Danio rerio: one gene and its partner. The protein of the gene in region 1 interacts with the protein of each later gene in a biochemical or structural test. Links are inferred from orthologs where the notes say so. Each region holds a gene or a part of one and is shown in the gene's direction. Other genes may lie near its edges.

The links. The genes of interacting proteins can lie anywhere in the genome.
Region 2: of the proteins of dapk3 (region 1) and pawr, one has a biochemical effect on the other in vitro, tested with the Homo sapiens proteins (2 studies listed by BioGRID). The link is inferred for Danio rerio from reciprocal best matches to the Homo sapiens genes DAPK3 and PAWR.

Annotation. Positions count from the first base shown.
Region 1 is NC_133177.1:40,494,860-40,497,988, reverse strand, and holds the end of dapk3 (death-associated protein kinase 3), read left to right. Parts: intron 1-296; coding exon 297-342; intron 343-421; coding exon 422-955; 3' UTR 956-2,629; downstream 2,630-3,129. UniProt on the Homo sapiens protein: Serine/threonine kinase which is involved in the regulation of apoptosis, autophagy, transcription, translation and actin cytoskeleton reorganization. Involved in the regulation of smooth muscle contraction.
Region 2 is NC_133179.1:22,060,896-22,065,134, reverse strand, and holds the start of pawr (PRKC apoptosis WT1 regulator protein), read left to right. Parts: upstream 1-1,439; 5' UTR 1,440-1,703; coding exon 1,704-2,174; intron 2,175-4,239. UniProt on the Homo sapiens protein: Pro-apoptotic protein capable of selectively inducing apoptosis in cancer cells, sensitizing the cells to diverse apoptotic stimuli and causing regression of tumors in animal models.

The DNA of each region.
Region 1 (3,129 bases):
CAGATTGGAATTAAGTAAACAAAACCATTCGGCCTGATAGTGGAAAAGTGGCTAAAATCATCAGTAATTAAATGAAATCAGTTAAAAATTATTTTAAACCTTATTTAACCTTAAATATGTTTTTCCCTATTTAGTTTTTTCAGTTTCATGACATTGGCATATAACAGAATGACATACTAATAAAGTTAATTTGAAACATTTGTAAATACTATAATTAAAAATATAAATATTAGCAAACCAAATATTTTCATTTGTTTGTATTGACATTTATCTTCATATCTGCTTTTAACAATCAGAAAGAGAATGACAATCGAGGACAGTCTCCAGCACTCGTGGATCAAGGTTCAAATATTTTACTTTTCCTCCCATTTGACTTGTGCCACCATTTGTTCAGTGTTTAACACAGTTCTTGTCCCATCAGGTCATTAAGAGACGAAATGTTCGACCCGAAGAGAGCGAGCGCAAGCCTGAACGCAGGCGTCTGAAGACCACCCGTCTCAAAGAGTACACCATCAAATCCCACTCCAGCATGCCTCCCAACAACACCTACATCAACTTCGAGCGATTCTCCCAGGTCATGGAGGAGATCGCAGCGGCCGAAGAAGGCCTGCGAGAGCTGGAGAAAAACCAACGATCGTGTGGTGAGGATGTGACCGCTCTGCTCTCAATATATGAGGAGAAGGAAAGCTGGTACAAAGAGGAGAACGAAAGCATCGCCGCAGACCTCAGTCAGATCAAACAGGAGCTGCAGAAAGCACAAGCCCTGCGCAGACAGAGCCAGGAGGAGGCACGTGCTGCCATGCTGTCAGCTAATGCCCTCAAACGCAAATTCGGACGACTGGAGAACCGATACGAAGTTCTGGCTGAGCAGATGGACTCCGAGGTGCGCTGGGTGGAGGAGCTGGTGCGCACCATTTCAGCTGAAAACCACACTCGCAGCACCAGCATGGCTTGAGGTTTGCTTTTTCAATCTAATAATGGCTATCTACTATCTTCGCTTGGTGTGTGCAGAGATATATAGTGTTAAAAGATTAGTTCACATCCAGAATTGACATTTTTTTTAATGATTTGTTTGCCCCCTTTTCATCAGAGTTATTCATTGCTTTCTTTAGTCGAAGAAATCAAGATTTTTAGGGAGAATATGCTGGATTTTTTTCTCTTCATATAGAGGACTTCTATGGTGTTCAATAGTTTTTAAACTACTCTAAAAGATTTCAGATGAGGAATAAGAGTCTTACCCAAAGAAATCTGATATTTATGTTTAAAAGTTTATGATCTTCTAAATAATGACTAATCGTTTTGCTTATTTTTTCGTCTGTGGAATCCTTTGAAGCTGCATGAAAACAGCAGGTTGGATGTTAAATCCACAGAGTACAATAGAAGTCCAATATATTAAGAAACTTCACGTTTTCCTCAAAAACCTTCATTAATTTTCGACTAAAGAAAGTAAGAAGAAAGGGAGCGAGTAAATTACCAGGAAACTTCCATTCAGAAAGTGAACTAAACTTTAAATATTGCGTTAAGCTTCATGTAATCCTGTAGGGTTCGTGCTACTCTTAGAACAAATGCTCGATCGGTTAAAAATGTTTTTCCTCTAAAGGTGAGCATGCATTAAGAATGAGCTGTTCGCTTGTGCAATATACAGTAGTATCAGTTTGTTGCAGCTGAAGCGAACATTTAGCTTGTGTACTCGCAGCCTCAATTATACATGCTGGAATAGTCGATAAAAAATATATATACATATATTTAAGATTTGAGAATCAATTACAGCACTCAACACAAAGGATATTAATGTACATTAAAAGTAATGCACTACACCAGTGTTTCTCAACCACGTTCCTGGAGGACCACCAACACTGCATGTTTCGGATGTCTCCTTTGTCTGTCACACCCATTACCGGTCTTTCAGTCTCTGCTAATGAGCTGATGAATCAGGTGTGTTTGGTTAAGGAGACATGGAAAATATGCAGAGCTGGTGGTCCTCCAGGAACAGGGTTGAGAAACATTGCACTACACAATCCTCTATGAGGAATTTTAAGATGCCAATTGATTTGTGGTGCTGCATGTCTGCTTTCCTATGCAAATCAGATCCTTATTTTATGATGTGAGATAAATTAAATTACTTTTAAAATGTATAATGGTCCTAAATGCTGTCTTTGGGTGAGCGGTAGATATATATAGTACTTGGTAAGCTGCTTCAATTTAAAAGAATAGATCACCTCAAAATTATTATTAATCACTCTCAGTTCTTTCCACGTCGAGTATGACTTTATTTCTATTAAGGAATGTAAAGGTTAAAATTGTTTTGGACTTTCATAGTATGTACAAAACAGTTTGCGGTTTGCTAAACAAAGTCATACAGGTTGGGAAATGACACGAGGGCAAGTAAATAATGACAGACTTTTATTTTGTTTTTTGCATAAAGCGCACTTCGAACATTCCATTTTTTTTTGTGTGTGACATTCCATATGTAAATGAGCATAATTATCTCTCAGGAAATAATTGTGCTTGTTAAAGTCATGGCAATATCTGTTTGCTTACAGTACTGTATCCATTATTGTGTCGTTTTATTACGTTTATATAAACATACGAAAAACCCATTCGAATAAAAGTACTGAAGAAGACCACAGTCAGCGTGTCTTTATTTGGTGTGTGTGAGCGCAATGGGAGGTCAAGTGGGGTGTTACATAAATCCCAGCATTTGTCATAAACTCTTTATCTTCATTTGCAACATGTCTAGAGATGTTGAAAGTCCCCCAGTTTTAATTACACAAAAGATTTTTCCATCTCCATTGTAACATTATGGTGTTTTGCTGCTGAGGTAAACATTTGCATTTTTGGGGTCATGTCGATGCAGCTGTTTACTTTGACAACTTTAAACTACATGGCATATATGAATATTCTGAGAACAGTTTTAGCTTCCTATGAGATGTAGACATAAATCAGCAGTGCGTATCTCTCTTTGCCTTTGGCTTCAACATGATCCTTCTAGTTTGTACTCATTTTTTTGTCATTCACAGAAAGAAAGTCACTGCTTCAAGTCCTGGCTGGGTCACTTGGCATTTCTGTGTGGAGTTTGCATGTTCTCCCTGTGTTCGCTTGGGTTTTCTTCGGTGCTCCCCCCACAGT
Region 2 (4,239 bases), on another chromosome or scaffold:
TTACTCAACATACATTGCTTAAAGCATTCCAGAAAAAGGAGTATATTTATGTGTTTTTTTTCTCTGATTGATTTTAAACATCAGCTTCCCCTCAGAGAGGATTCTGGACATTGTGATATATCTTAGTACGTGTCAAAAATGTGTAAATACCAATTTTCAGATGATTTGATGGCTTGACAGAGATTGTGAAAGTCAGATGCGTGACTCTGTGTGCACTTCTGTTATCTAACACTCTGAGGTTTATCATCTGTGAGAGTCTTGAGGTCACAAACAGCCAAAGTCTGTGAAACAAGTGACTCATGCTCTCACAGGACCTGTGGGAGAACAGGCAGATTCATCTCTCATACACATTGTCTGATGTCTCAGCACCGGAGAAATATCTATCTATCTATCTATCTATCTATCTATCTATCTATCTATCTATCTATCTATCTATCTATCTATCTATCTATCTATCTATCTATCTGTCTGTCTGTCTGTCTGTCTGTCTGTCTGTCTGTCTGTCTGTCTGTCTGTCTGTCTGTCTGTCTGTCTGTCTGTCTGTCTGTCCTTATTTACAGTCCATTCATTCATCTATCCATTCATTACAAAGATGCTAAATGCTAAAGTGCTACTAAACAAATACTGACACAACCACATGGTTAGGCAAGTTTTTTTTTTTTTTAATTAAGCACAGAAACATGGCATTATCATGTTACCATTTTAAATCTGTGCATTTTTACCACCTTAGTTCCCAATTTGTATCTATCTGTCATGTCCATCCTTCCATTAAATAGTTTTAAAATGCTTAAGTGTCAGTAGCAGTAGCTTTTTATGGTCATTTATAGATGTATAGATGCCTTCAAGCATGCAATTACTAAAAAAGGATTCACTAGCCTATGCTAGATTTTAATGGTATTATCAATGACATGTCAACAAACATATTACCACTTTTATATATTTGTAACTAAAATATAAAACATATTCAGATGCTTATTCTATCTATCTATCTATCTATCTATCTATCTATCTATCTATCTATCTATCTATCTATCTATCTATCTATCTATCTATCTATCTATCTATCTATCTATCTGTCTGTCTGTCTGTCTGTCTGTCTGTCTGTCTGTCTGTCTGTCTGTCTGTCTGTCTGTCTGTCTGTCTGTCTGTCTGTCTGTTAAACAAATAATATCATATATCTCATTACCTATTTCATTAACACTGTAGCAATAATATAATATAATATAATATAATATAATATAATATAATATAATATAATATAATATAATATAATATAATATAATATAATATAATATAATATAATATAATCCTAAAAAAAGTTTGCCTAGCAGCATCAGCTCGCTATCAAAAGGCTGTCGGCTGTTTCCGTTAATTTACGTAAGCTTTCGGAAACGGGGGCAGGACTCGGCGTTTGAGCGCGCCTGCAACTAATCCAGTTCATTCCACCAGTTCACCTGAACTCTTGACGACTGTTCCTGCGCGCGCAGGTGAGCTTTACCGGACACTTTCCTTCAAAACAATACTTTTCTGACAGCTTTACGCTGCTCTGAAGCGACTTCATCGCAGTTTTGGACAACTTTAAAGTCTTTGTGATTATTTTGAAAGACTTCTGAGGAATGTCGCGGATCTGAACAAAAAAGTGCGTGTACTCTTGTCTGTGTTTACAAAGTGATTCACACGAGACGTTTGCGAGAAAGCAAATCATGGCAACAGGAGGATTTAAATCTAACAGCGCGACAGACTTTCTGGAGGAATGGAAAGCAAAGCGTGAAAAGATGAGAGCAAAGATGCTTGGAGATATCGCCGCCGCCACCGGCAGAACCACGGAGTTAAACAACAACGGCAGCAGCTCGGTGAACTGCGTCTCCTCTGCGCCCTCTTATCCGGTGGCTCGGTCCTCCTCTTCATCCGCTCTGAAGGACGAGCCCAAGACATCCGAGCCGCCCGGGGGAAACTTGAAGAAGACGCCGGAGAAAGTGAGCGCAGTCCCGCAGGCGGATAGCCCGAGCCCCGCCGGTGTGGATGACAGTGATAAGGAGAGTCCCACACACAGCAAGAGCAAAGAGAAGAAGAGCTCGGGACCCAGCGCCAGAAAGGGCAAAGGACAGATCGAGAAGAGGAAGTTAAGAGAGAAGAGGAGGTCAACAGGTGTTGTCAGCATACCGTCCAACGAGGTCAGTTCACTTGCTTTAAAGTTTACCTTTTCACCAAGGCAATAGCAGAAGCCTACTAAAATGCTGCTTATTACAACAGCTGTCATAGACATTGTTTTTAATGGTTGCTACACTTTCAAAACAAAATAATAACATGGTGCTTGTTTAAGTTGTTTCCAGATCTAGACATTTTATAGATTGTGTAAAACATGCATTTTAACAAATATACATTGCACAAAAAGTGTAAATACCTTCTGTTCTATTAATCTTTTTATATATTAATAGTGAGCCCTGCTATACATGAAGCTTTATTTACATGCCTTTAAAACATGCCATTATGCTAGTTTTCAAATGGTGTTACCAATGGCGTAATGTCAACAAACAAAGTACTGCTTTATATTTTGTAACTAGAATTAAAAGCATGTTTTTACCATTTTAACCATGGCAAGGTAAACAATAATCAGGTGCTTATTTACGTCATCTATCTATCTATCTATCTATCTATCTATCTATCTATCTATCTATCTATCTATCTATCTATCTATCTGTCTGTCTGTCTGTCTGTCTGTCTGTCTGTCTGTCTGTCTGTCTGTCTGTCTGTCTGTCTTTCTGTCTGTTCTTGGTAATTAATACTTGCTTAGGATACTTTGATGTAAACTTTGGTACTGAATAATAGAAGTAAAGTTGTTCTTTTATTCGCAAATTCAGACTTTCTCCTTAATAATATAATTTTATGAAATTTTTATTTGTAAACTCTAAATAGCAAAATCATATTAGCAGCTAGTGACTATCAAAGTACAACATTGTTCACAGTCAAATAAACTGTGTAAATGTTGTTTTCAAGTCATACTTGCAAGGTTATTTTAGACCAAATATTCAAAGTGCCATAGTAAACAATGTAGGGAGTGTGTCACAAGTGGATGAATGTGTGAATATAAAGCCTCTGTTACTGAAAATATTAATATGCAATGTATTTGCATGCTCTTCGAAGAATGCAATGTTGTTACCATCATGTTAGTTTAAAAAGAAGCCGCATTGTCTTAGTATATAATGTGCCATATTTACGTGTACAGTAAGGAATACAAGATAAAACCATCATGCCTCTTTTTATTGGCTGCATGAATTTGCCAAAAGTATGATAAGAACAACAACAAAAATAAACACAGAAATCATATTATTGTCATGGCGAAGGCCCATATCCTGAGTTGCAACCATATTTGCTTACTGAAAGTGTTCTAAATATGTTTAGTAACTAAAGTATACAAGCTTGCTTGCATTATTACAGCCATATTTGCAATCTTACGTCTACTAACCATCCTACGTGCCTAAAACAAATCATAATCAGTGTCCAAATACCACAGAACTTTTTTTTTTTCTAAGTAATTTGTTGGTAATTTTGTCTAAAACTGACATTATTACAACCAGATTTGCTTATCTAGGCTCAACTCTGGCCAATTTATATAACTTAACTGTGAAGTCCATCGTTAAATGTCACTTAATGAGTGAACTCGCATACCTACATTATGTAATCTTGGTGAAATATCTGTTTAATGCATGTTCTCCTCCAAACAACACTCCTATAAATCAAGACTAGAAGGCAACAAGTCTGATGACTAACAGATTGGGATCACATTATACATATTTTCTCCATTTCATGATTTATAATGACTGTGAGTTGCTGAGTTACGTTGTAGATCATGGGATGGAGCTGATGGAGAACACGGTACGGCTGTTCCTCTAGTTAAAAACACTTCATTAGCAGATCGGTTCACCATAACAATTAGCCTCCAAATCTGTCACCGTTATCTCTCACCTTTCAACCCGTCACATTCCCCTGCATGAGCAGTGGGAGGCTTGTTAGTGCATATGCCAATGTGAATGTCTACCACCCAGCTCCACTGCCCTGCGGATAGTTGCTGTTGGAGGCTGACCAGTATGTCTGCTTTGGCTGGAGATATCCTGTCATTAGCCCCTCGCACTGTGCCAAGGTAAAGTAGTTTGGGAAGTAGGGGGCAGGCCAAGACTTAATGTTAGGGTGTCTTTGAGAGCAAGTATACACACTCATGCCCCAGTGTCTCTCTGCACG